Stegostoma tigrinum: one gene and its partners. The main gene of each other region encodes a partner of the protein of the gene in region 2 in a complex. Links are inferred from orthologs where the notes say so. Each region holds a gene or a part of one and is shown on either strand. Other genes may lie near its edges.

Region 1 (6,859 bases), on a different chromosome or scaffold from region 2:
GTGCCCAGATCTCTGGTTCAGGATCTTTGACCTCCATGAGAGAGTTGCACCAGAATGTTTCCTTCAACTTCATTAATAGTTTTTGTGTGAAGGCTCTACCTGGTGTTGCAAACTCTGAAGATTGAGTTTTTGGTTGCAGAATTATGGTATGGAAGGAAGTCATTCAGCCCATGTCACACTGGCTGTATTATCAAGTTCAATGCTATCCAGTGCCAGTCTCACCCTTACCCCATATCCCCACATGCCACTCCTCTCCAAAATAATCACCCAATGCCCTCTTGAATGCCTCAATTGAATCTGCCTCTGCTACACTTCCAAGTAGTGCATTCCATTCCCTAACTATCTGGTGAAAAGGTGCTCTTTCCTCACATCCTTGCTTTTGTTTGCACGTCACTTTAAATGTATGCCCTTTTTGTTCTTGTGCTGAAATCAACTGAAAAAATCCATTTTCCCCTCAGTCCCTGTTTGCAGGATGCTGTTCATGTTGCAAAAGTAGAAATTGCTGGAAAAGCTCAGCAGGTTCGGCAGCATCTGTGGTGAGAAATCAGAGTTGCCACTTTTGGGGCTGAGTGACCCTTCCTCAGACCCTGACCCTGATTGACCATTTAAAAAGACCAGACAGAGACTGTATTTGATAGCCCCTATGTGACTTTACACAGCTCAGACTCTAATATATTACCTCCAAAGCAGTTTCTGCGAACTGACCATCAAATAGAAATTAAAAGCATAAATTGAGTTTGTAATGGGTCACTGCCATCTCACTAATGATAAAACCACATACACGTGATGCAATATTGAACTGAAACATCCATAAAATATTCCTCAACCAGAAACATTAGAGAAATCAGAGTCTGGCTCTAAGGAAGGGTCATTCAGCCCCAAAACAGCAACTCTCCACCGATACCTGCTGAGCTTTCCAGCAATTTCTGTTTTTGTCTCTGATTTACAACATCTGCAGTTAATTTCAGATTTTTTTAACTTTACCGTTTTGGGCACCACAACATTTGTCAGGCTTCTCGTACACTAACATGCCAGCCCCCAGTGCCTATACTTTGATCTATGGTGTTCCTTTCCCATTCCTGTCTCTTTAGGGGCTGTGTGGCCACCAGCCGTTTCCTGATCTTCCCCTTTCAGAATTATGCCATTCTGTTGTGCACCTCAGCTCGTGCCTCCAACTGTGTTGCTTTCTCTCTGGGTATCTTTATTGTAGTCCAACTAAGTCAAAGGAATTCACCAGCAATACAATATAGGTTTGTCTTTAATTATGCTTATACCTCCACTCTCGCATCCTTCGTCCCACTTTTAAGCAGCATTAAAAAAGTGTTGCCTCATTTCTGAATCTCTTTGAATTTTTGGTCCTTTCCAGAATTGAAGGATTTTAGGATGATTTCAGTTTTAGCTGAAATCTCGATGCCTAGTCTTGCACTTATCACCTGCTCAAGAGTATGGCAGTGCTGACCTAAATGGGTTGAATGGCCTCTTCCATTCTGTGTGATTGCCTTACTCTTAGAATCCTGGAATATACTGTTTGGCTTCAAAACGTGTCGATGCCCAAGTCTCTCTTTTTTGCTTTGTTTTTCTAAACTGCTCAGTTTTGAGTTTAATTTGGTAATCCCATGTATCCCAATGTCTCTGGTTTGGATGCATGGCATGTCTGTTTGCTGGTTGAGTTGGTGTGTTTTGTTTTTTAAATTTTTTTTTCTAGTGCTGAAGGGGGGAGGCACAGTGCCTCGGTGGTTAGCGCTGCTGCCTCACAGCATCAGGGACCCAGGTTCGATCCCAAGGTTGGAAGACTGTGTACAAACTCCACGCAGACCGTTTTCCCTGTATCTGTTGGGTTTCCTCCCACCGTCAAGAGCCATGCTGCTGAGATGGATTGGCCATGCAAAATTGGCTTTGTGTCCAGGGACGTGTGCCCTTGGGGTGGGTTAGCCATGGGAAAAGTAGGGTTACAGGAATAGGGTGGGTGGGTGTTGATGGGATCCTCTTTGGAGTGTTGGTATGCACTTGACAGACTGGCCAGCCAAATCCACGTGGTTCTGGAAGCTTTCTTGTGCGCCTCGGCCTGGCACTGTGGGTTCAGGTGGTCGCAGAGTTCTGTCACAGCAAATAAGGTCAAAACATTGGGTGTTTTCAAAGGGTCAGGTGTAATTCTTGGGGCTGAAGGGTATGGGGGAGAAAGTGGGAACAGGATTTGGATGATCACATTGGATGGCAGAACAGGCTTTTAGGGCTGAATGGCCTACTCCTCTCGCTCGCTCTCTTTTTTTGTTTTGAGTGATAAAAGTTCCTGACTTTTTCCACTGATCACAAATTTCATTTCCGCTAGTACCTTTTTTTGCAAAACATCCCAAAATGCTTCTTAGGGTCGTAACTTTTTTTGTCTGTCAGATTCTAATGCCTCCTCCTTTTTTTTTTGGAGCAGTGATAACAAGTGGCCAAATGCTTGATCAGAGGAGGGGTTTTGAAATATCTCCTCTCTTCTCCCCTGCCCCAACCAACCCATCTCCCCTTTTTTTGTTTTTTGTGTGTGGGCAAGGGTCCCAGGAGGGAATTTGAGTGCATGACATTTTACATTGGAACAGTGTAAAATCACAAGTGGCAGAATTGAAGGAATACTGATGTATGACTAGGGAGATTACAGACACTCTAACAGCAGACGGAGGGATTTCATAGAATCACTTAGTTTGTACAGTCTGGAAGCAGGCCGTTTGGCCCAGAGTCTACACCAACCCTCCTGAGGATCTGACCTGCCTACCCAATCCCTGTTATCCCACACTTCCAATGGCTAATCCACCCAGCCTGTACACCTTTGGACTGTGGGAGGAAACCCATGCAGACACCGGAGAATTGTGTGTGTGTGTTGCACTGTCGTCCCTGTGCTGTGAGGCAGCAGTGCTAACCACGGAGCCACCATGCTGCTCCAAACATCGGAATACACATTTCTGAAATTGAAGTTTGTGCTGGTGTGGTGCTGGGTGTGAACGTAGGCCATTGTGGGAGTAATGGGTGAAGGGGTCTTAGTGTTGAGTGTATGAAATGAAATTTACGCCGTCTTATGAGCGGCCTGTGGTGAGTGGACCTGGTTGAGTGGCCTATCAGTGACTCAAATTACCTCCCATTGTTTGGCTTATACCAGAGGATATCCTAGGGAAAAGGTGTCCCTCATGCCAATGTGGGGCTTGGATCAGTTTCGTGGAGGAGTTAACTCTCCATCTAAAGACCTGCGTGTGACCCAAGGCTGTGCGCCCACTTCCACTTCCTTCTGTGTTTATTGAAGAGCAGGGTGTGCCTATTCTACCTCATGTCAAAATAGTTAAAGCTTTTAATGTCTGACTGGGAATTTGTGACCGCCATTTCCAGACAGTTGATTCACAATTCCGCCCCACACCCCCCAACTTACCCCGACAGCTCAGAGCATGGCCTTTTGAGCAAAATGGCATAGTTTCTGGCCAATCCCAGAGCAGGTGGGCCTTTTGGTGTCATGTGAACAGCACTGAGAGAATTTCATCAATCGGAACTGAAGACCAGATGTACGACACAGACTTTTTTTATATATAAATGATTCACAACTGCTGTCATTAGCTATGGATGACTTCCACCTTTTCTCTTCCCCCCCCCCCCCCCGCCATGATCTTCTGTCCCTCACCCTTCCCCCTCCCAGACGGTTTCCAGGGAGGTTGTAATCACATTAATGCATGAGTGCTTACAGTATTGCACATGTCAAATGGATTAATGAATACCTGTTGTAACTCGACAGAGCCTGGCTTATAATTCACCAAGCTGTTTCTGCCAGATGACTGATATCTGGGCTCAAATTAAAAGGACAAGACCAATGTGAGAGGGTCCCACACGAAGAGACTGACCGGGTGCTGGTATTGAGGAAACATCAGTCTTATTCTGTGCAGTTTGGCTGGAGGCGCTCCAGATATGGCTGCCTTTTTTTAAAGGCAGCATAATCTCGTGAAATCTTACACCCACAATGGGGTCAGGTGTGCTCCTGTTAACGCTAGAGAGGGATTAGTTTGTGTTTCCTCACTGGCCCTATCGAGAGGTTGCTGTGTTTCTGTGCTGAGATTCTCTTTCCTCTTCCCCTGCTGTGTGGCACTGGAGTCCATGGCGACGTTAACTGCAGTTGTTGATGACAGGAACGCACTTGGGCATTGCTTAGATGTCTGAGGGCCTGCTGCATCTGCGGTTTTTGTGAGGTGAAGCTTTGAAGCCAGGACATGTACACACGCAGAGGGCTCGATGATGACTTGTATCAGAAGGACGAAGGGAAATGGGCTCTGCTGCCTAACGTCAATCTAGTGCTTAAACACCAGCACACGCTCCTCCCGGTAAGCACTCATCAAAGCTTTCTACTCCTGTCTGTTCAGATGTTATTATTATGCATCTCTGGATCAAGTATGGCTTGAACCCAGGTCTCCTGGCTCAAAGGTAGAGGCATTGCTGTGGTTGATCCCATGTATCTGCTGCCTTTGTTCTTCCAGAGAAGTGGTTGTGTTTGGGAGGTGCTGTCTGAGGAGCCTTGGTGAATTTCTGCAGTGCATCTTGATTGTACACACTGCTGCTACTAAGTGTCAGTGGCGTATGATAATGTTCCCTTTTAAGGGTGTATTTTGTCCTTTTTTTTTATATTTTGAGAGAATTTAAGACTGAAGTACACAGCTGTCTGTTTTCAATCCAATGAGCAGCTTTTGAGGCCTTGAGGTTTTTCCTTTTTTGAAAAGGTTGGAACAATAGAAGCAGCCTGAAATGGGTGGAGGTCAAGCGCTCTCAGAACCAGGATTAAGTTTTTTTGTTTGGTTTTTCAGGAGCAGTTGTTGCCAGGTTCGCTTGGGTTTAGAAGCTGCAGTACACCTCTCCCTGCTACTGCCTATATCTGTTTTTCTTTGATAGGTTTTGTTTTTCTCCCCCTCCTGGACTAGAGAATTGCATGTGAGACCATCTGTTTTACTGAGTTTGCCTTTGCTGAGCATTTTGTGATTGTCATGACATTGGAATGGTTATTGCTCGTGAAATTCCTTGAGGGTTAGCATAGATAATGCCTGAGATGTGTGCATGCATTGCATTCATGGTTACTAGGTGATTGCTTCCTCTGTCTCTCTATGCACTCCCCCTTTCACATTTTTCCCTACTTTGCCCTGCGCCTTTCCCCCTACCACTTCCTTGCATTCATCTTCTACTGCCACCTCCCCCCCCCCCCCCCCCCCGCCACCATCAGATTCATAGCCACTGTTATTTTCAATTCCAGACTCAAATTAACTTTACTTTAAATTCCATAACCTGCCATAATGCAATATTACCACTACCATAAGCTATAGAATGGCCTTGCGATCAGTCCAGCAAATACTTACCCTCAAGGGAGGCACTATCCGCTGGACTGTTAACCCAGAGATCAAGATAATGCTCTGGGGACCTGGGTTCAAATCCCACCACCTGCTGAGGCAGGATTTGAATTCATTTCAGTATCTGGCGTTGAGACTTCAATGATGACAATAGACACTGGATATATGGTCAAGGAAAAACCTATCTGGCTTATTTTTAGGGGACGTCCTTACCTGGTCTAGACTAAACGTGACTCCAGACCCACAGCAATGTGGCTGACTTTTTAACTGCCCTCCAGGCAATAAATGCTGCCTGACCAGTGACTCCCTCATCCCATGAATGAATAAAGAAATGAAGGGGTTTCAAGATGATACAGAAACTGATGGGGTGTTAAATAGTGAGGATGGTTGCCTGAGATTACTGGAGACTATAGACAGGCTAGCCAGATGAGTTGGTCAGAGACATATGGAATTCCGTCTGGATAAGTGTGAGGTGATGCACTTGAAGAACAAACAAAGCAAGAGGAAACATGAACAATTGGACCCTCGGAGTGCTTGAGGATCAGAGGGACCTTGGTGTATCTGTACACCAGGTCCCTTTTAAGGTATCAGGACAGTTAGATAAAGTGATTGTTAAAAAAAGTTTATGGGATATTTACCTTCAATAGCCAAGGGATGGAATTGAAGAGCAGGGAATTGATGCTGGAATTGTGTAAAATGTTGGTTAGGGCCTCTAGTAATATAACTACCTAGCCTGCACACTTCACTAAAGGTATAAAATTTATAATGGAGATTTAATTACAGATAAATCTTTCCCCCTCTGGTAAAAAAAACTGACAATGAGCCATCTGTCTCTCTCCCAGGGGGATTACGTCTGGCTGGATCTGAAGACTGGTCGTGAGTTTGAAGTTCCTATCGGGGCAGTAGTGAAACTCTGTGACTCTGGCCAAATTCAGGTTGTGGATGATGAAGGCAATGTGAGTATTCTGCCATTTTTGGCTAGCACTGTCATCATTCTGTCAAAGACATATAGGTGCAGGAGTAGGCCATTCGGCCCTTCAAGCCAACACCACCATTCATTATGATCATAGCTGATTATCCACAATCAGTATCCTGTTCCTGCCTTATCCCCATAACCCTTGATTCCACTATCTTTAAGAGCGCTATCCATCTCTTTCTTGAAAGCATCCAGAGAGTTGGCCTCCACTGCCTTCTGGGGCAGAGCATTCCATGTATCCACCACTCTCTGGGTGAAGAGGTTTCTCCTCAACTCTGTTCTAAATGGCCTACCCCTTATTTTTAAACCGTGTCCTCTGGTTCTGGACTCGCCCATCAGCAGAAACATGCTTCCCCCCTCCAGAGAGTCCAATCCCTTAATAATCTTGTATGTCTTGATCAGATCCCCTCTCATCCTTCTAAGCCTAGTGCATTACTGACATTATGGTGGTGCATCACTGCCAAATCTTAATAAAAAGGGGCAGAATGTTAGAATGTCCCAACAAGCCCAGTCGCTCCAATCTTTCCACATA
Region 2 (6,978 bases):
AGAGAGTGAAAACAGGACAGTTTCAGAAAGAAATCTTCAATACTGCCAAAAACTGAGTTTAGGGAATTCACATTTTGACTATGATGTTAAAGTAATCGTCAGTTCGGTTTGCACAATGTTTCAGTTGCTCCAAGAAGATCCCAGCCAAACAAAAACACTAAATGAATGTGCAGGAGTTTGCCAGAAGGAAACAGGTTGCAGTTGTGCCAGACTGAGCAAGAAGCTTTAGAATGGAGATCGTAGTAAACCTTTGATGGGACTTGACTTTTGTAAAAATATTGCTGCGCTAAAAAGAATAGTGAGTGTCATTACTTTTCTGGTGTTTGTAATGAAACTTTCCAACCTTTTCATCTCATTTAATGTAGTTCATATTTTTACCTGTCTAATAAATGTTTAACTCTTTGTGATAAAAATGCACTTGCAGACTCTTCTGAATGTAACTGAACTCTGCAGTTTAGAGAAAGGGTAGTGTCTATCAAACCAGGTTTCAATGTGAGATCTGACTAGTCCGGTACTAATATCAGCTGCTACAAAACACTCCATTCAACAGGTTCACGACTGATCTGATTTGACCTTAACTTTGCCTTCCTGTCTACCCATGACATCTTTTCACTTTCTTGTTAATTGATACCATAAGATATTGTCACAAAATTAGGCCATTCAGCCCATTGAGTCTTCTCCACCATTCAATCATGGCTGCTAGGTTTCCCAATTCCATTCCATTGTCTTCTCACCATAACACTTGACCCCCTTACAAATCAAGAACATATCTATCTCTGCCTTAAGTACATGCAATGACATGGCTTCCACAGCAATGTGTTCCATAGACTAACCACCGTTTGGCTGAAGAAATTCCTCCTCATCTCAGTTCTAAAGGGTCATCTCTTTACTGAGGCTGTGCCATTGGGTTCTAGTCTCTCCGACTGGTGAAAGCATCTTCACCATTTCCACTCCACCCAGGCCGCTCAGTATTCTGTAAGGAAGCTATCCAACTCAATTTTACATATACTTAATAACCCTGCTGTCTAGGCAAAACAAAATCTCCATCTCCATCTCCATCTGAGTGACAAAAATAAATGTGGAGCTAGCAAGAATCAGAAGACCTTGAGAGTTGGGGGATAAACAGGTCAGCATAACATCAAGGGCCGAAGGGCCTATACTGCGCTGTAATGTTCTATGTTCTAAATGGAGATAATTTTATTTTTAAATTCTGTCCGCTAATTCTAAATGCTCCCATGATGGTAATTGTGCCTTGAGTATCCCCAAGCACTTTATACATTTCAATTAGATTGCTTCTCACTCTTCTAAACTCAGGAGATACATGTCCAACTTTTCCTCTTTACCTTTCTTCTACCCTCACCCCAAAACCACCTGAGCTCTCCATCATCCAAGGAATCAGATGGGCATACTTTCTCTGAATTTCTTCTAATGAAATTATGTCTTTTCTTAAATAAAGAGTCCAAATCTACATAGTATTTCAGATGAGATCTCACCAATGGTCTGTACAACTAGAAAAATGTTCCTACTTTTATATTCCATTACCGTTCGACAAATAACAACATTGCCTGTCAGGATGATAGGGACAGATGACTTTTAAGAAATATTTAGATGTGTGTGACATAAAGGTTATTATGGATATGCGTCCAGTGCTGGAAAATGGGAGTATAGCAGTTAGGAAGTTGTTTTTGACTGTTTCAGACTCAATTAGTGGAAGGGCCTTTTTTTCTGTGCTGTAGGCCTCTATGACTCTGTTATGTATGTCTTCCTAATCACATGCTGTACTTGCATATAACTTTGTGATGTATGTACCGAGATACCCAGATCCCTCTGCATGATCAGTTCTGTGTTTAAATCTCCCCAGTTAATTAATGTGCTGCTTCATTATTCTTGTTGCCAAACTTGACAAATTCACATTTTTCTGCATTGCACTCCATCTACCAAAGTTTTTCTCACTCTCATTACCTATTTGTATACATTTTTAGACTCCTTATGTTCTCTTTACAACGTACTTTCCCACCTATCTTATCTCTCGGCAAGTTTAGCTGCCACGTATTCAGTCCAGTTATCCAAGGCATTGATCAAGATTGCAAATACTTGAGGCCTCAGCACTGATTTCCAAGGCACTCCATTTTTTACACAAGGTTGTGGAGCGCACACAAACTGATCGAAACTTCAGGATTTAGAAATCTGTCATATTATTTGGAAATGCTGAAGTTGTGACTTGTCACTCACTGTTCTGCCACAAGCTGATGTGTGGACACTAACCCACGTGCAAAGCTAGCAATTAACAAACCAAGTGGATGTGGTGAGAATTTCCCAATCCAAAAATAGATCTGGCCCTGAAGAGATAATGGGAACTGCAGATGCTGGAGAATTCCAAGATAATAAAATGTGAGGCTGGATGAACACAGCAGGCCAAGCAGCATCTCAGGAGCACAAAAGCTGACGTTTCGGGCCTAGACCCTTCATCAGAGAAGGGTCTAGGCCCGAAACGTCAGCTTTTGTGCTCCTGAGATCCTGCTTGGCCTGCTGTGTTCATCCAGCCTCACATTTTATTATCCTGGCCCTGAAGAAGCATTTTTGTATTTGTGGAGTGATACAAAATGTCTCTCTTATGATTAACTTAAGTTGTTTAAAACCAAGCTTTGTGAATAATTCTTTAAAAATATTTTTGTGATGTTTCAGTATGTAGCTTCACCCCATGCATACATGCTAGTCTTTAATTTGCTTTTGTCAATTTTTAAAACAGTGACTTTATGGAAGCGCTTTTCATTGATTTAGAGAATTCTTTGGCTGTTCATACAGCTTGATGACATCTCGATGCAGCTGCATAGAAGGATTCCCCAGAAAACAAGAATCAAGTACAGGGTGAGAGAGAAAAAAAGCCAGGGAGATCATTGCACCTCCAGTGCATCTATGCTTCAGCACTGTGCAAAATTCAGACCATTGTAAAACACTGCATTTATGCTAATTCTCATTTGCAGTAGGTATTATACATTTTGATAAACCAAAGCTAAATCTTGGTGAACTTCAAAAAGACAAAGCTGCGCCACTACAGGGTGCAGTATAAATTTGTGATTCTATTTGATGCCAAGTTTCTGATCTTAAATATAATGATTTCAGGAGGTACCAAAACAGAAATCAAGCCTTCTCCCCACAGGAAGAGTAAGAAAATCAAATAAATAAAACGCTCACATTGCTTGCCTGCATCTATTAATTAATGGTCATGTGCAGCCCCATGGATTGAAATCTCTTAGGTCAGTGGTAATGTCCCTATCTCTGGACTTGAAGGTTTAGGTTCAAGTCCCAGCTGCCAATGAGGTGTGCTATATAAGATTTGAAGTAGTTGATGAAAAATTTGGGGAGCAGGTGTTGTAGAGGTAATGTCAGTAGCTGAACAATTCAGAGCTCCACGCTAAACCTGTGCGGACTATGTTCAAATCCCAGCACGCAAAATACTGGAAATTGTATCGCTATATCTCGGCCAAAGGACGTAAATGCAAGTTCCACCTACCGACATGCGTCGTAACATTTGCCGGAAGCACGCTCGGGGTCTTCCTAGCTCTGGGCCAGAAAATTTAGGTTCAAATCTCTGAATTGGTGGAGGTGTGTCATAACGTCTCTAAACAAAGTGATTAAACAAATGTTCTTTCTTTTAAAGCAAGTCCACGGTGTTTTGCTCAAGGAACCTTGAAATAAACACAGAAAAAAACTATTAAGACACCTTAAAACATAAGCTCGGTATTATATACATGAGATTTATTTGGATTGTGTTTGCCTGCGCAAGATGGGTCTTTAAAAAATAACTGAACAAACCGCTTTATAAATGAACGCGATCATTTTAACAACTTAAAGTAAAGCAATGCGGTAACAGCAGAAGCATACATGCGAACGGTGATACTTCACAGAGACACAAATCATGTTTAAAGTTTGTTTTCTTATCTCGCCCTGTCTGCTGTCATTAACTGCAAGCTCTCCACACCCAAAGGGTTGAGAGGAAAAGGGGCCGGTCATTCCTGGTTCCCATCGCATCCAGCCTGCCAGAATGGAGAAAAAGGTGGCCAGAGAATTCAGACGTAAGGTAGGGAGCGAGGGAAGTTGCAAAATTTAAAAACTACGCAGCTTTTCACTTATCTTGAACGTATTTCTGTTAGCGTTAGGACGTTGTTGCTGTGCTCAAAGAAGAGTTCGTAAGCTTAGGTTATGAGAGACTATGGACCCAGCTGTATCAATAACAAGTGGGGGAAGGGCATTTGTTAGTTTCCCGAAAAAATGTCTATTTCCATTCAGCTCTGTTTTCGTAGTGTTCAAACGGTGTACCTGGAGTAAAACGCCTTTAAATGTTGATATTTGTGATAAAGTTTCCGCAATGTTTCCCCTGTTCTGAGCAATCGCTCTGCCCAGGAAACGATCTCACTCAACCCTGGGAGTCGAGCGCCGTCAGAGGAGCAGGGGAACACATACTTCCATAAGCTCTTGGCAGTAGATTGAACACAGTGAACCCATTGAAATGCGATATCGTAATGAAAACTATTTACAACTGCGCGAAGAAATCCAGTATTTTGCATCTAGACACATGTTAAGGCGCCTGGACTCTAACGTATATTGGGAACGTTGTACCTTAACAAAGGCATTGCCTTCCAGACTCTATATAACAAAATCGATACAATAAAATGAAGAGTATTACTGATGTCGCAATCAAACTTAATAGTAAATTAGTTTTTATTTCTCTTCATGCTATTTCCAAAGAAGCTAACAATCTTCATTGAACCCCGTATAATGCGGCGATCATACAGTTCTCAATAAATAGAGGTTTTTTTTTCCTGGCAGAATCCATATTTCCAACCAAGTGGGTTTAGGTCAGTTCAGTTCCTGCAATAAAGTCAATTGAATGAGTGTTTTTAAAAATATAGTTTTCAATGTTGCTTTAATATTTGAGTGATTATGGATGCCTCGTCTATAATTACCTAAGCGTTATGGAGCACAAGGCATATCTCAGCATTGATGCCGCTGCAGGCTCTGTAATAAATGAGGACTTCCCAGCCAAGACAGTAAGGTCTGGGCATTCCAATAGATTCCAGTAGCACGTCCTGATTGAGGGAAGACCAAATAGATTTCCCACTCTTTATTGTTGCAAGTGTGTGTGTGTCGAGGTAGCGGAGTTAGAAACAATGTTTTGTAACACCATAAAGGCAGTACACTCATGTAATAGCACTAAACTATTTAATGTCCTTGGCATTTTGTTCTAACCCTTTGACTGTGAACAGGAAGAAAGTATGGCAAAAATATATAAAAAGCAACAACTGCCTTCATCTGCCTCCACCCTTTTCTCCAGAATTTCCTACCCAAATATCTGCATCTCCCAATCTTGCTTTACTCCTTAAGGAGTTTTCTAATTCTTTGACCAAGCATAACTGCCTTTTTTCCCCTCTTTTTCAGCTTTTTAAAAAAATTTGCTTCCACGAAGTACCTTGGGATGTTTATTATGTTGAAGAAACCAAAGATGTTGCAAATTATATTGCAGCAAGTTTTAAAATTTACGTGGGTTCCATTCCTGCCATCACCTTCTCAGCTCCTTGCTAACTTAACCATTCATTAAGTACCAACTAAATAGTGACTGATTGAAAAACCTGTCTGTTATAGAAAAGGTATGACATTGGTATCAAATTTGCTTTCACTTGACATTGACATTTGTGCACTTCATGTGATGTATCACCCTGTGAGTATTCACTCTATTGAGGTTCATTGTCCAACTCCTATGCTTCAAACATAGATCAGCAAATTCTGTACAGTGATTGCACAGCAATTTTTTTTCTAATCTTTATAGTTTGATATCTTACCATGTGGTTCATTTTACTAACACAGATTGTTAGTTCTTCGTGGTCATCTTTCTCGCAGTTCAGTGGTGAACATTGTGGTTTAATTGCTGACCATGAAATAAGAGCTGCTAACTTTGTCATTCTGCAACTCACTTTTGCATAACCTTTGAATATCGCCCTGAAATAGCAATATCATGGAATAGGATTTAAAAATTATGAAGCTGCCATGTAATCACTCAGAATACAGTGAAGTGTGCAAACTGTGATAAACATTGGAGCATAGAACAATACAGCACAGTACAGGCTCTTCAGTCCACGATGTTGTGCCAACCTGTTATCCTCCTCTAAGATCAAACTACCCTGCATGCCCTTTATTTTACTATCATCCATGTGTCTATCCAAGAGTCGCTTAAATGTCCCAAATGTATCTGGCTCCACTACTACCGCCAGCAGCACATTCTTCGCACCCAGCACTCTGTGTAAAGAACCCACCTCTGACATCTCCCCTATACGTTCCTCAAATCTCCTTAAAATTACGCCCCCTCGTAATATTCATTTCCACCCTGGGAAAAAGTCTCTGGCTATCCACTCTATCTATGCCTCTCATCATCCTGTACACCTCTATCAAGTCACCTCTCATCCTTCTTCACTCCAATGAGAAAAGCCCAAGCTCCCTCAACCTTTCATCATAAGACCTAGCCTCCAGTTCAGGTAGCATACTGGTAAATCTCCTCTGCACTGTCTCTAAAGCTTCCACATCCATCCTACGATGAGGTGACCAGAACTGAACACAACATTCCAAGTTTGGTCTAACCAGAGTTTTATAGAGCTGCAGCATAACCTGACGGCTCTTAAACTCAATTCCCCTGCCAAGAAACGCCAACACATCATATACCTTCTTTATAACCCTTTCAACTTGGGTGGCAAATTTGAGGGATCTATGGACATGGACCCCAAGATCCCTCTGTTCCTCTCCATTATCAAGAATCCTGCCATTAACCCTGTATTCTGCATTCAAATTTGACCTTCCAAACCGAATCACTTCACACTTTTCCAGTTTGAATTCCGTCTGCCATTTCTTTGCCCAGCTCTACATCCTTTCAATGTCCCATTGCAACCTACATTATGCACAACTCCACCAACCTTCGTGTCATCAGGA
Region 3 (7,767 bases), about 12 Mb from region 2:
TTACAGTACAGGGTCTGCAACGACATGGGAAGAATATACAAACATATAAATTAGCCCCTTCAGCTTGCTCTGCTACTTAATGTGGTCGTGGCTTTTTAGATTATAACTTCAAGTCCACATTTCCATCCATCCCTGATAGCCTTTCACCCCCTTGCTTAACAAGAAACTGTCAACTTCTGCCTTAAAAATATTCAAGGACTTCGCCTCACCACCTTTTCAAGAAGAGAATTTCAAAGAAGCACGACTCTCTGGAATTAAGTATTTTGTCTGATGTGTTGTTTTAAATAGGGAACCCTTGGCTTTAAACAATGGCTCCTGATCGAGATTCTCCTAAAAGGTATGGCAGGGCAGCTCAACCAAACAGAATGTGGTGTGTGGGGAGTTGTGGACCCATCTCACAACCCAGAGATAATGGGAACTGCAGATGCTGGAGAATCCAAGATAATAAAGTGTGAAGCTGAATGAACACAGCAGGCCAAGCAGCATCTGAGGAGCACAAAAGCTGACGTTTCGGGCCTAGACCCATCATCAGAGCTCTGATGAAGGGTCTAGGCCTGAAACGTCAGCTTCTGTGCTCCTGAGACGCTGCTTGGCCTGCTGTGTTCATCCAGCTTCACACTTTATCATCTCACGACCCAGTTGGGCTGGAAGTGACCATGATGCATAAACCTGAGCTCTGAGCATCAGAGCTGGAGCAACAGCTGGAATCACTGAGGTGCAGCAATCTACATGGACTGCGCACACACAGATGTTGTCATGCTCCAAATTAGGGATAAGGAACGTAAAAAGGCAGTTCAGGAATGACTGATACCAGCAAACCAAGAGAAACAGGAGGGTACTGCAAGAATCCCCAGTGGTCCTGCTGGCTAGCTGTTTTCTTTCTAGATATTGGAGTGTAACAAGAGTCAAGCTAATGGCACTACAGGTAGCCCAGCTCTGCACGAGTGGAGCAATCAGAGTGAAAGGGCAGTATTGAAAGGGAATTCTATGGTAAGGGAAGCAGGCAGGCATTTTTGCAGCCATTGATGTGATTCCAGGATGGTCTGTTGTGTCGTTGGTGCTATGATCAGTGATATCACAGACATTCTTCTGGGGGAGGTTGAACAGGCAGTGGTGGTATCTCCCACACTGAAACTAACAACAGAGGGAGAAAAGGGAATGCGGGCCTGCAATCATACTTTAAGGAGCCCTGTGAGAACAATCCTCTAAAGTAGCAAACTTCAGATTAGTCTCAGTCCCAAAAGCAAGTGAGTACAGAAATATGAGGATTAGGCAGGTGAATGCTGGGCTTTGAATCCCTGGGACATTGGCACTGGGCCCTGTGAAAGATGACCTCTATACAAGTCAGAAAGCTTGCACCTGAACAGAACCAGGGCTGAGTACCTTGACGCATGTTTTACTAGTGCTGTTGGGGAGATGTTAAAATAACTCAGCAAGGGTGTGGGAACCAGGACAGGCTAATAGAAAGTAATTCAAAGGAGCACAAAATTCTGGGAGAGGCAGATAGCGCAAAAATAGAGAAGAGTAAATTATAATCAGTGGAGTCAGATTGAGAGAGAAAGTAATGAAGTCTGAATACACTGCATGTATGTGAACATACAAAGCACAGTTAATAACACTGGGGAGCTACAAGGTGCAGACTGTCATGTGAAATTGTGATGCTGTGTGATAACAGAGAAGGGCAGGTCTGGGTGTTAAATATTCCTGCTTGTAAGACAGTCTGAAGAGATAGAAGAGGAAAAAAAAACAGAGGAGAGGATTAATGATGTGATAATGGGAACTGCAGATGCTGGAGAATCCAAGATAACAAAGTGTGAAGCTGGATGAACGCAGCAGGCCAAGTAGCATCTCAGGAGCACAAAAGCTGATGTTTTGGGCCTAGACTCTTCATCAGAGAGGGGGATGGGGAGAGGGTTCTGGAATAAATAGGGAGAGAGGGGGAGGTGCACCGAAGATGGAGAGAAAAGAAGATAGGTGGAGAGGAGAGTATAGGTGAGGAGGTAGGGAGGGGATAGGTCAGTCCAGGGAAGACGGGCAGGTCAAGGAGGTGGGATGAGGTTAGTAGGTAGGAAATGGAGGTGCGGCTTGAGGTGGGAGGAAGGGATGGGTGAGAGGAAGAACAGGTTAGGGAAGCGGAGAGAGGCTGGGCTGGCTTTGGGATGCAGTGGGGGGAGGGAACGAGCTGGGCTGGTTTTGTGATGCAGTTGGGGGGGTGGCGGTGGGGAAGAACTGGGCTGGTATTCCTCCGCCTCCGCCGCATCTGCTCCCAGTATGAGGCATTCCACTCCCGCACGTCCCAGATGTCTACGTTCTTCAAGGACCGCAACCTTCCCCCCGGAGTGGTCGAGAACGCCCTTGACCGCGTCTCCCGCATTTCCCGCAACACATCCCTCACACCCCGCCCCCACCACAACCACCCCCAGAGGATCCCCCTCGTTCTCACATACCACCCCACCAACCTCCAGATACAACGCATCATCCTCCGACACTTCCGCCATCTACAATCCGACCCCAGCACCCAAGGCATTTTTCCATCCCCACCCTTGTCTGCCTTCCAGAGAGACCACTCTCTCTCCGGGACTCCCTTGTCTTCTCCACACTCTCCTCCAACCCCACCACACCCAGCACCTTCCCCTGCAACCGCAGGAAGTGCTACACTTGCCCCCACACCTCCTCCCTCACCCCCATCCCAGGCCCCAAGATGACTTTCCATATTAAGCAGATGTTCACCTGCACATTTGCCAATGTGGTATTTGTATCCATTGTACTCGGTGTGGCTTCCTCTACATTGGGGAAACCAAGCGGAGGCTTGGGGACCGCTTTGCAGAACACTTCCGCTCGGTTCGCAACAAACAACTGCACCTCCCAGTCGCGAACCATTTTAACTCCCCCTCCCATTCCTCAGACAACATGTCCATCATGGGCCTCCTGCAGTGCCACAATGATGCCACCCAAAGGTTGCAGGAACAGCAACTCATATTCCGCTTGGGAACCCTGCAGCCCAATGGTATCAATGTGGACTTCACAAGCTTCAAAATCTCCCCTTCCCCCACTGCATCCCAAAACCAGCCCAGGTCTTCCCCTCCCGCCTCTGCATCCCAAAACAAGCCCAGCCTGTCTTCGCTTCCCTAACCTGTTCTTCCTCTCACCCATCCCTTCCTCCCACCCCAAGCCGTACCTCCATCTCCTACCTACTAACCTCATCCCACCTCCTTGACCTGTCCGTCTTTCCTGGACTGACCTATCCCCTCCCTACCTGCTCACCTATACTCTCCTCTCTACCTATCTTCTTTCCTCTCCATCTTCGGTCCGCCTCCCCCTCTCTCCCTATTTATTCCAGTTCCCTCTCCCCATCCCCCTCTCTGATGAAGGGTCTAGGCCCAAAATGTCAGCTTTTGTGCTCCTGAGATGCTGCTTGGCCTGCTGTGTTCACCCAGCTCCACACTTTGTTATCAGAGGAGAGGATTCAGAGGGTTTTAGGGTAAGGACATCATTGCAGTTCTGGAGAAAGAGATTTCAGAGAGGTCAAGGGTGGAATTAATTTAGTTAGAACTAAGGAATATAACTACATTGTTCAATGCAATCTATAGATCACCACCGCATGGGAATAGTGTACAGGAACAAATTTACAAAGAAATTCTAGCGAGGGGTCAACATCATAGCGTCATTAACTATCTGGGTATAGACTGGGATAGAAACCAAGTAAGGGGCAGCAAGAGGCAAGTGTTCCTAGATTGTGTTTAGGGGAATTAATGTGAAATCCTTCAATCACAGAGGGATACTCATGCCCCTTTAGGATGAGGCTCCCTCTCTGAGACCTGGTCATAGCTCTCCAGCCTGAGGAGTGCCACTGGGAGTTGTGAAACTGCTGGGCTAGCATTCAGTTCCCAATGATGATCACTTCTTGGAACTGGGACCAGGCTGCTGTGCCCTGGATGAGAAATGGTGAAGGCCAGGATCAGGATGTTAAGTGTAGAGTAAGCAGAGCCAGATATTACCGTGGTGATGGTGGACAAAGTCCCAAGAGTAGGCATGACTCTGGCTTACAAGTGATCTATCTTATTCACAACATCCACCAAGGGACATGAGCAAGCCTCTACCACCCTCTCCTCTGAGGCTGGTGAACTATTAGAGACAGTTGGGGGAAGTGCTTAAGAGGCAATTAATAGTATGAGTGGTGGTTGGGAAAGCTGGGGTGTGGGTGCTGGTGTCCTCCTTTAAAGTCCCACCCTTGGAAGCAATGTAATAGGCCCTTGGAGAGCAGTTGGAGACTTTGATCAGAAGCGTCTATCAGGAAATGTATTTTTCAGATCTGTCAACAGTTTGGAGAGGGTAGCATGGTGGCTCAGTGGTTAGCACTGCTGCCTCACACCACCAGAGACACAGGTTCAAGCCCATCCCCGGGTGACTGCCTACATGGGGTTTGCACGTTCTCCCTGTGTCTGTGTGGGTTTCCTCTGAGTGCTTTGATTTCTCTCCACAGTTGAAAGAAGTGCAGGCTAGGTGGATTGGCCATGCTAAGTTGCCTGTAGCATTCAGGGATGTGTAGATTAGGTGGGTTATAGGGCCTGGGTCTGAGGATCACTGTGGACCTGTAGGGCCGAAGGGCCTGGTTCCACACTGTAAGGAATCTATGAAACATTCACACCCACTTGAAGTGAGACTGTATCTCATTAGCCTTTGACGAGCAGCCAGTGGCGTGTCAGTGCAGGATGTGATCAGCTTTTATGACTTTCCATAGTGGGAATTAAACAGTGACTGGGTATGCAGAATAGCAATAAAGTAATAACGCCATGAAGCAAAGGTTGGAACAACAAGCACCAATATTTCCGTCAGTCTATTTTGATTCGGATTCCTTTCAAGCTGCTAACAGAAAGAAGCGGTTGAGGCTGGGACAGTTTCGGTTCAGTGACTTGGGCCTAGTGAGGCTTTATTTATGATTTTTGGCAAAAATCTTCAGCGTCCAAGAGAGAATGGACACAAGCCGCACGATTTGTGGCCCCCACATCTTGCTGTTCATCCTGTTCGCAGTTCTTCAGATAAATGCAACTGCTGCTGTTAATAACCACTGCTCTCCCAACAAGGGTAAGCCACACCTTTCATATTATGCATGAACAATTGTTTTGTTTGTCCCTTTTTAACTGTAAGTTTAACGTCCTTTCTATCTTTCTCTAGCTTGTTGTGTTTCAGAAAATCCCATACACGTGAAAGAGAATAACAATGCAAACCTGGTCATCAGTAATATAACAATAAGGGAACCTCCGGTTACAATATTAGATCCGTCAAAGACACCTGATGTTGCTGTCAATGGGACCACACTGGTGCTCACAAAAACAATCGATTTTGAGGTAATCTCAATGAACCAGTCGCAGGGAAACAGGAGCTCAAGATACACACAGGGAAATAGTTGTTCCAGACAGTTGGAGGGAGGCCAGAGCTCCAGTCACAGGGAGACAGGAGCTCCAGTCAGTCACAGGGAGACAGGAGCTCCAGTCAGTCACAGGGAGACAGGAGCTCCAGACAGTCACAGGGGGACAGGAGATCCAGACAGTGGCAGGGAGACAGGAGATCCATACAGACACAGGGGGACAGGAGATCCTGACAGTGACAGGGAGACAGGAGATCCATATAGACACAGGGGGACAGGAGATCCTGACAGTGACAGGGAGACAGGAGATCCATACAGACACAGGGGGACAGGAGATCCTGACAGTGACAGGGAGACAGGAGATCCAGACAGTCACAGGGGGACAGGAGATCCTGACAGTCACTGGGGACAGGAGCTCCACACAAACACAGGGAGAGACAGGAGATTCACACAGCCACAGGAAGACAGGAGCTCCACACAAACACAGGGAGAGACAGGAGATTCACACAGCCACAGGAAGACAGGAGATCCACACAGACACAGGGGTATAGTTGCATTGGCCTTGAAAGGATTTACCTGAAAGATACTCAGCTCCCAGAGTGAAATTACAAGGGACCATTACACACGTTCGGCCTCAATTCCCTGAAATTTAGAAATATTAGGGATGATTTAATCTAAATTTTGAAGATATCATAAGAAACAAAGAGGATAGCTAGACACAACAGTAGTTGTCTGGCGGGAAGAGCAGGATGCAACGATACAGTCTATAAATTAAAAGCTGAGTTTTCAGAAGTAAGCTTAAGACAAACCTTAACACTGCAAGGGTAGTAGAAGCTTGGAACTCTCTCCTGTAAGAAGCATTTGATGCTGGATCAACTATTAATTTTACATTTGAAATTGAACACTTTTTTGTCAGCTAATGATATTAAGTGATAAGTAGGCATGGAAATGGAGTTACATCATAAATCAACCATTGAATGGTAGAACAGTTTTGATGGACTAAATTGTCCCCTCTTGTACCCATGTTTCAGACCCGTTATTGTGAGCTCAGCTGGACAGCCTCTCGATGTTCCAACTTCACAAACTTTCACGTATTTCGATAAGAACACTATTCATTCTTCTAATTGACATAGAATATAGGCCCCTTCTACTAAATTTCTCCTCATATGACAGCCATCTCATTTCAGGATCAATCTCATGAAATTTTGTTGCTCTTCCTTTTTGGCAGGTTTATCCTTCCTTAGGTAAGGGGAACCAAAACTATACTTAGTACTCCAGGCTGAGTGTTACCAAGGCTCCGTGTAATATGTTGCGTGAGCAACGATCTCTGCACACAACATTGTTGCGTGAGACTGTTTGCACGATTGCTCATCATGCAGTAGGCCTTCAGCCACCATCCTCTTTTAAGGTGGGGTCTTAGAGGGCCAGCTGATCTCATACGTTAGAGGAAAACCATTGGCTGGTCTAACAAGAAGAGGCTTTTGTTTCTAACAAGTTCCCATTTATATACATTTAAACAACTATGTACAAATTACATTGATTACTGAGACGAGCAGCCATTTTCCATTATACCTCAGAGATCCTAAGCTGTACTCCCATCAGGTCCACATGACATTATCACAGAGTGGAGTCCTTAAGGCACGTCTCAGCATTAACCCTTTCAGATCCATATCCAACATAATAGCAGCAAGATTTTCTTACACCTTTACAGTAACCTCTTGTGATAAAGGCTAAAGTACGCTTTACTTCCCTCTCAGTTTTTGTTTTAAATTAGAACACGGTAAGTTCTCAACCAATGGCAATTGCTCACGGCACCATAGGGACAGGCTGTAACGTGTGAAAGAGTACCTCAAACCACTCCTTCCCAGTCAGCAATATCTCCTGTTGCTTTCCTGTCCTCCCATTTCATGCCCCATGTAAGGCATTGAATAAGTGACATAGTACTTGTGATTCAACTCACCAAGTGGTGAAAGAAACATTCGTAAGGATTTACACAAAAGCAGTGAGCTCATTTGAAAGTTCTGGGACAGGGTACTGGGGCTTATGTTTATTGGCGAAGTGCAGGAAGCAGAATGACAAATAGCTAGTCTGCTTGCTTCTTGCTCACTCGTCTCGGTGAGCCAAGTCAATGCTGTAAAAAAATACACACAAACTTTGGCCCATCCAACATTCTGAAAAATGCACTAGATGATGAAAAAAATTGCAAGCAAGTGATTTCTTTTGAAAGAAGCTCAATAGTTTTTGTTTATCTCTAAATGTTGGATAATCTTCTGATTTCCTTGTCTATCTGCTTTCTGTATTCTCTGAGACTGGCACCTGGTGCCAGAATTGTCAATCTGATGTCAGTGTGCCATATTTTATGTTTGTGGTGAGGGTAGAGTTGGGGGACACACACACAC
Region 4 (7,591 bases), on a different chromosome or scaffold from region 2:
CTCACAGCACCAGAGACCTGGGTTCAGTTCCACCCTTACATGAATATCTGTGTGGAGCTTGTACATTTTCCCTTCGTCTGCATGGATTTCTGCCAAGTGTTCTGATTTCCTCCCACAGTCCAAAGATGTGCAAGTTAGGTAGATTGGCCTTGCTAAATTATCCATAATGTTCAGGGATATGTAGATTAGGTGTGATAACAAGGTGTAGAGCTGGATGAACACAGCAGGCCAAGCAGCAGGAAAGGAGCAGGAAAGCTGACGTTTTGGGTCTAGACCCTTCTTCAGAAATCAGATTAGGTGTGTTAGCCATGAGAAATGCAGAATGATATGGTAGGAGGATGGGCCTGGAGGGATGCTCTTCAGAGGGTCGGTGTGGACTCTTTGGGCTAAATGGCCTGTTCCCACACGGTATGGATTCAATGCAACAATCCACATAGGCAACTGTGCTTTGCGACTGAAACTCTGTCCCCTTTTGCAGCAGTTACTGCTACTTTCCATAAAGTAAAAGTACTAATAAATTTAGAAGATAAACATAAGCAAATTTTTATCTTTAACACTAATTAGATCAGGTTTTCTGGCATTTTGAAGCAGACTTTTTAATATTGGCAGATATACATTACATATTTAGGCCTGAATTTCTGTTGTGGGGCAGAGAGCGCAGAGCCGGCACAATTTACAATTTCACGAACCCAGTCTAGGAGAAATTGACTTGGAAAGTGAGATTATCATTCTGGTAGGTTGGGAACATATTCTATGGGAGTTTGGCTGTGCCATCCCAGAGTGAGAGTGAAGACTGCTAGGTACAGAAGCAGAGAAGATAGAAGGGCTACCCTAGATTCATTCTTAAAATAAATAGGAACTTGAACCCCCACTGCCTCCTCCTCAACTTTTAGAAATATCTAAATTCCCATTGGTTAATGTTTAATCTCCATCCCATCATCTTGTAGTGCTGCCAGCAGTTTTCAATAATCTGATTGTCATGAACATCATGAAGTCTGTCTCCTAGTTTTCTTGGCTGTTTTGCTGTTAGGAGCATAGTTTTATCTCTCAATAAAATGTTATCAACACACAATGTCATATGATATATTAACTTTTTGAAATTTATTTGTTTATATGCTGTTTATACTGAGGATTACCACTACATTGAGGGATAGCAAGATATTCAAGTGCATATCAACACCTTTCATTCTTCCTGAAGTCACTGTTGTGCCTTAACAGAGTCATACAGCATGGAAAGTGACCTTCAGTCCAACCAGCCCGTGTCGAACATAATCCCAAACTAAGCTTGTCCCACCTGCCTGCTCCTGGCCCATATCCTCCAAATCTTTCCTATTCATATAATTCTCCAAATATCTTTTAAACATTGGAATTGTACCCACATCCCCCGCTTCCTCAGAAACTTCATTCCACATGCAAATCCCTCTCTGTGTAAATCTCTCTCCTCTCACTTCACAAATGTGCCCCTTACTCTTGAAATCCCCATCTTAGGGAAAAAGACAACTACCATTAACTCTCTCTGTGCCTCTCATTATTTTATAAATGTCTATTAGGTCATCTCTCAAACTCCTATGCTCCAGTGAAAAAAGTCCCAGCCTATCCAGCCTTTCTTTATAACCAACATGAAGCAACAGCTACTTTATTTGATATTTTCATGTAGAGGGGGCTAGTTTAGCTCAGTTGCCTTGACAGCTTTGAGAAGTAGAGAGATACCAGCTGTGTGGGTTCAGTTCCTATTCTGATTGAGGTTAGCATGTGGCATTGTTTTTTTTAACCTCTCCCTTTGCCTGAGGTCCGGTGACCCTCAGTTTAAACTACCACCATTCATTTCTCTCTAGAAAGCAGCCCTATGGTCTGGTGAGATTACGGCGACTTTACCTTTATTTCCGTGTCGATGAAGCCAGTCAGTTACAAACTCCTTCTTAATCAATTTTCCTGGAAAACTGTAAAATCAATCCATGTAAATCTCAGAAGCTGGCACAAACTGTCAGAGGTAAAGGTTGTGGTCATGGGATCAGTGATCTTATCATACAGTCATCAAATACATAGCACCAGGCTGCCCTCCTTTACTGATTCACCCAATGGAAAAGAGTTAACCAATTGTTAATTCATGAATTTTAAGATTTGGTACACATGACCATGTGCTAAATATGGAACAATCTCGGGTGAAAGTAGGATAAAAGGCAGTGAAATTTTTAGTACACTGGATGAGTACCATCTGAAGTCATGACATTATGAATATAGAAGATGAGAGCTGCTTGCCATTTTACAGAAGAACCATGTTTGTAGAATGATTTGTAACAGCAATCCTCATGTTGTGGGTAAGTAATTAATCAAAAATGACAACACAGCTAGATCCACTGTAGGACTGAGATTATTAGATCACAAGGTTTAAAGGTATTGTATGATTTCTGTTGCCAGGGTTACATTTGGTTTATGCCATCATACTGTTTGTTATCTAGCCTTCCACCATTTTATTGCACAGTAAGTGAATTCTTTAGAGCTTATAACCAGACTCAAAGTTCACATGCTATCAATTACAACAATCATCCTGAATTATTTTCTGGAAAATGTTCAGTGTGTCACTGGTGGATTCAAATAAAAAGTAAACAAATAGGTGAATATATTTGTTTTTATACGTAAAATTAAAATACTATTTATATAAAATACACCAAGGGGAACTCAGTGATTTGCTGAAAATAAAATTGCTATTAGCAGTTAAATCTTCTGGTCTGAACACCTTCAATATTCCATTTGCACCTATAATATTTACATTGTATGGTAATTGACAACAAGTGTTAACTTCCTAGTAACTGATGAATATTCACTCACATAATCTTAAATTGAAAGATTCCTGACTATAGATGTTAAGTTTACCAGTAAAAGTGCATAAATTTTCTTAACTCTGAACTCCCTAAATGCATTAGGAAGACCAACTATTTCAAATTCAGATTTGTCATAAACACCTTATATGGTTCAGCGACATTGATTGCTTTCTCAACATGTTAAAAGTGTTTTACTTTTGTGGCAATTTGGGACAGCCAAAATAAATCATGAATTTCAAAAGGTGGGTGTTTTTCGGTCCTGGAGTGATCCAGGATATAATATGCAGGAATTTCAGCACGGAGTTATTGAGCTGAAGATGGAGTGGCTAACACTGCGAGAGGGAAAGATACCCAGACACCTTTTTCCATGAGGCAGTCACATTCCTGAGGATAGGGTTTCCTGGTTTGATTAGTGATCAGGGACATAAGACCATGACTGGAAGCAAGGGCAGACGTTGGTACACACACTATACTATCACGGAGGCAGTTCTGGGATTTTGACCTAGTGACAATGAAGCAACTTTGATGTATTTCCAAATCAGGACGGTGTGTGACTTGGAGAGGAATTTGCACATGGTGGCATTCCCATACGTCGGCTGCCCTTGATCATCTAGGTGGTAGTGGTCATGGGTTTTGAAGGTGCTATTTAAGGAGCCTTGGTGAATTTCTGCAATTCATCATGTGGATGGTAGACACTGCTGTTACTGAGCATCAGCAATGGAGGGATTGAATGTTTATGGATGTGGTGCCAATCAAATGGGCTGCTTTTTATAGAGTCATAGAAAGTCATAGGGTCATACAGAATAGAAACAGGCACAGTGCCCACCGTGTCTAGGTCAACCAACAAACACCAAACTAACTAATCCCATTTACCTGCACTTGGTCTGTAGCTCACTATGCCCTGGCATATTAAGTACTCATCCAGATGCTTCTTAAATGTTGTGAGAGTGAATGCCTCCACCATCCTCTCGGGCAGCATATTCCATATTTCTGCCACCCTCTGGGTGAATTTTTAATTTCGGATTTCTAAATCACTTACTGTTCACTTTAAACTTATGCCGTCTGCTCTTCGACATATCTGCTTTGGGGAAAAAAAATCTACTTTGCTTAAGCCTCAAATAATTTTGTATACCTCAATCAGAACACTCCTCAGCCTCCTCTGCTCCAAGGAAAACAAACCCAGCCTACCCAGTCTGTCCTCATAACTGAGGCAACAGCCTGGTGAATCTCCTTGGCATCCTTCCCAGTGCAGTCAGGTCCTTCAGATAGTGTGGTGACAAAATCTGCACACAGCCTTCCACCTGTGGCCTAACTAATATTTTTTTAAAATTGGAAGAAGACTTCTTTGCTCCTATATTCCTTGCCTCAGCTAATGAAGGCAAGCAACAAATTCATAGTGGCAGAAACAGCAGAATAATCTTTCAATTACATAAGCATCTGCTTCATTACCTAGAGAATAAGGTCCTTGCCTGTACAAACCTGTTGATATATATAGATATATACAGGAAAAGTGTAAGAAATTAAATAATATAAAATATCAATGTTTTTGCTATACGTATGTTAAGATTTATGTTGATAGGTTTCAAATTTTGTCTCATGGTTTACTAACAAGTAGCCAGTTGCTTGTCAATTAATTGTTTTCTTCTCTCTGACTCATGAAGGAAGTGTTTGTACCATTGCGAACACCTTCTGTCAGTTGTGATTTGTTAATCAGTAACATTTATAACGTAGGAAGGTTTACTGCTTCAACTGTAAAACAAGTAAAAGTCCATCAGTGTCAACCAACGATGAGAGAATAGATTTCACACAAAGAAGGTTCCAGTAAAAATCGTAAGTAGTCACATCTTCTTAGAGCATACACAAATTGAAAACTTGAGTTAATTATCCTGTGATAATTTATTACTGTTCGATGCCTTAGAATTTGACACAAAAGTTTTTGAGGTAATTTGCTATCATTGGATATATTTATTTGAAAACAGTGCAATATTCTTTATTTTGGAATTCAACGTATGCTAGCGAAAATGTATTTGTATGGGGATTGTAAAGTACATCCCAAGTGAAAGATATTTACATTCATTGTCATTTATATATACTACTGGCCATTTCGCCATGACAGGAAATGATGAGTGGATTTCTTTCTACCTTAGTTTTTCACTTTGCAAACCAAGTAATGTAACTACCTCCATTATTAACACTACATATCAATCTGTGCCAAATACAGAGGAGCAGACAAACCATGGTGACACCCGCTAATACTGCGATATTTGATTTTTTAGTCGCGTGTTCATATCCACCGACTTTTATTCCTCCTTCCCGCTCTGTGAGAAAGTGCCTTTTTCATTTGGTGCCGAGGTCTTTGGTGAAATCTGAAATTGCTGTCACAACCTGAGAGCATATTTCACTGTAGCACCAAAGTGTGCTTTCAATTTCCATGCCATTTTTATAAACTGAAACTGAAAATGTACATTGGGTTTTGAAATCCACACAGCCCCCTTCATGAGATTGGGTAAAATGGCCCGTATTCTCTGGAGTTTTGAAGAATGGGAGGTGATCTAATTGAAACTTACAAAATTCTTAAAGGGATAGATGGGATAAATGCAGGTAAGATTTTTCCCCTAGTTGTGGGTCTGGAGCAAGGGTACACTATTGAACAGTAAGTGGATGCTAGTTAGGACTGAAATGAGGAGATTTTCTTTTACTTAGAGAGTTGTGAATGTCTGGAATTCATCCCTCTAGGGGGCTGTGCAAGGTAGATTTTGACAATATTTGAGGTAGAGGTTGATAAATCTTTGATTACTCATGGCGTAAAGGGTTCTGGGAATAGTGTATAAGTGAAGATGTCAAAGTTTTCAATCAGCCATAATCATGTTGAATGGTAGCACAGGCCCAGTGTGCTGGGTGCCCTACACTACTCCTATGTTGCTATGTAGACATTGTAGAAGTCATTTTATATGATCATGACCCCCAATTATTTTATAATTATGTAAATTAACTCCTACTTTTATTTTGCCTTGGAAAATGAGATCAACATGGTATAATAGCACAATTTCATCATGTTTTTGCACTTAGGACAAGAGAAAGTACAGTGGTCAGTGATCACTGTCATTTGGCCTCATAACCATTATTTTAATTCTTCTCTTTGTATACACTCTGGGCATAACTTTCCATCCTGTAACATCGAGCATATTGGATGGCATCGTATCTACCAATGCAATTACCTCATGATTATGTGAATGTAAGCTCATTCTCTGTGTAATGATGCACAAGCCTCATCGCTGTCAGTGCTGTTGCGACCTTTTGGTGTTGAAGGTTCAGGTGCCATCTTTAAATGCCAGTTGGACACCACTTAAAAAAACCGGGAAACAAGGGATTTCCAGTTAGCCTGCAGTGTGTAACCCCCCAAGCCCAGAAATGCCTGCAAGGAAGGTTCTACTGTCTCCCTGGTTTACTGATGCTACCCTGCTGCATCATCATTAGAAGGATCTTCCTGTTCCTGGTGATGGCATCAGGAATCTATCCCATCAGACACATCCTTGCAGCATGTGTCAATGCTGTTGTTCCCCACAGGAGAAACAACTTGTAGTGCAGGAAAAGGGTCAATGACTCCCTCCACAAGGGGAGAGCTGACATCATCTTTTTTCTGATAGTACACATAGAACTATCATTCAGTCAAACTGTGCCACTACACAGGCAATTCACAAATGGTCAGAGCCTGACACTTGTCCGCAGCTAGTGGAGGAAGAAATGCTCAAGGTCTCTGACGTTTGTAGAATATAAAAAAGAACAGAAGCAGTCCCTCCAACCCACAATGTCTGTGCCATTCTAAACTAATCCCATCTGTCTGTACATGGTCTTTATTCCTTAAATATTGCTATCATATCTGCTTCTACTGCCTTCTCTGGCAGAGCATTCCAGGCACTTACAACCCTCTGTGTAAAAAACTTGCCTTGCATGACTCTTTTAAACTGCTCCCCTCACTTTAAACCTATACCCTCTAGTATTTCGCATTTCCACCCTGGGAAAAATTCTCTGACTATCTGCCCTAACCAGGCCTCTCATAATTTTATATACTTCTTTGTGGAGGGCACAAAACATCACCATGATGAGGCACGCACTGTCTGTGGTATGCTGTAAGGTACTACCTGTCTGGTTCAGGCTTGGAAGCCACATATTCAGAAGGACTCAGTCTATTCTACAATAGCTCTGGTTGAAGAGTTGTATCTCCCTTGGCAACAGTCACAGGATTTCTTCAAGATGTTATCAACCAGGTACAGAGGAGATTCTATTTGCCATCCAGAAACTGTCCTTGTATGGTTTGAGGGCCTTTGAAAGATGATGGCACCAATGAGTCACCCTGGTGTGCACGTTAGGGTGGATCCCTGAATATATAACACAATCCTGCAATACCTGGAGTGTTGTGGTCACAAATAATGTGAACACTAAGGAAGTGGAATGCTTTTTTGGTTCACAACAGGGTACTCTGATTGTTCTACGGTTGCAAACAATTGCATGTTCACCCTGTGAAAAACCTGCAACAGTTGGAAAGCCAAATGATGGAGCTGTTTGACTGGTTGCATTGAGGGCGACTGAGATTAAATGGAAGGGATCTTCTTGTGAGGGGAGATTCAGTGACACCCTTGAAGCAATAATGAGTTGAGGACCCATAAAGTCCTTAGAAGCTCCAAGAAATGATATGGTGGAAAAAAAAATTCTGGCAGTTGTTGTTGTTCTGGCTACGGGGTAGGATTGCCACCCTGTCCTTGTGAACA

What was found.
Region 1: the proteins of ush1c (region 2) and myo7aa are in contact, whole or in part, in a crystal structure (PDB 5MV9), measured with the Homo sapiens proteins. The link is inferred for Stegostoma tigrinum from reciprocal best matches to the Homo sapiens genes USH1C and MYO7A. Residues at the interface, in NP_001284693.1 of Homo sapiens: Glu450, Pro456, Ile457, Val461, Val462, Ser463, Tyr466, Glu467, Lys479, Gly480, Pro522, Tyr526, Asp527, Asp528, Glu529, Leu530, Thr531, Phe532, Phe533; in NP_000251.3 of Homo sapiens: Phe1946, Val1953, Ala1976, Lys1995, Lys1996, Trp1998, Gln2017, Pro2020, Lys2021, Arg2024, Tyr2026, Ser2112, Ala2113, Phe2114, Phe2115, Glu2116, Val2117, Lys2118, Ile2128, Ser2161, Gly2163, Asn2164, Thr2165, Tyr2166, His2168, Leu2181, Glu2183, Thr2184, Ser2185, Leu2186.
Region 3: ush1c (region 2) and cdhr5b share a complex: the UniProt entries of both Homo sapiens proteins name them as parts of the IMAC/intermicrovillar adhesion complex. The link is inferred for Stegostoma tigrinum from reciprocal best matches to the Homo sapiens genes USH1C and CDHR5.
Region 4: ush1c (region 2) and cdhr2 share a complex: the UniProt entries of both Homo sapiens proteins name them as parts of the IMAC/intermicrovillar adhesion complex. The link is inferred for Stegostoma tigrinum from reciprocal best matches to the Homo sapiens genes USH1C and CDHR2.

What each region holds. Positions count from the first base shown.
Region 1 is NC_081359.1:106,243,905-106,250,763, reverse strand, and holds the start of myo7aa (myosin VIIAa), read left to right. Parts: upstream 1-3,853; 5' UTR 3,854-4,229; coding exon 4,230-4,340; intron 4,341-6,193; coding exon 6,194-6,307; intron 6,308-6,859. UniProt on the Homo sapiens protein: Myosins are actin-based motor molecules with ATPase activity. Unconventional myosins serve in intracellular movements. Their highly divergent tails bind to membranous compartments, which are then moved relative to actin filaments.
Region 2 is NC_081370.1:23,146,370-23,153,347, forward strand, and holds the start of ush1c (harmonin), read left to right. Parts: upstream 1-3,962; 5' UTR 3,963-4,045; coding exon 4,046-4,081; intron 4,082-4,320; exon of another isoform or gene 4,321-4,428; intron 4,429-6,978. UniProt on the Homo sapiens protein: Anchoring/scaffolding protein that is a part of the functional network formed by USH1C, USH1G, CDH23 and MYO7A that mediates mechanotransduction in cochlear hair cells. Required for normal development and maintenance of cochlear hair cell bundles.
Region 3 is NC_081370.1:35,281,776-35,289,542, forward strand, and holds the start of cdhr5b (cadherin-related family member 5), read left to right. Parts: upstream 1-4,763; 5' UTR 4,764-4,973; coding exon 4,974-5,085; intron 5,086-5,175; coding exon 5,176-5,348; intron 5,349-7,767. UniProt on the Homo sapiens protein: Intermicrovillar adhesion molecule that forms, via its extracellular domain, calcium-dependent heterophilic complexes with CDHR2 on adjacent microvilli. Thereby, controls the packing of microvilli at the apical membrane of epithelial cells.
Region 4 is NC_081366.1:45,702,572-45,710,162, reverse strand, and holds the start of cdhr2 (cadherin-related family member 2), read left to right. Parts: upstream 1-4,583; 5' UTR 4,584-4,652; intron 4,653-7,591. UniProt on the Homo sapiens protein: Intermicrovillar adhesion molecule that forms, via its extracellular domain, calcium-dependent heterophilic complexes with CDHR5 on adjacent microvilli. Thereby, controls the packing of microvilli at the apical membrane of epithelial cells.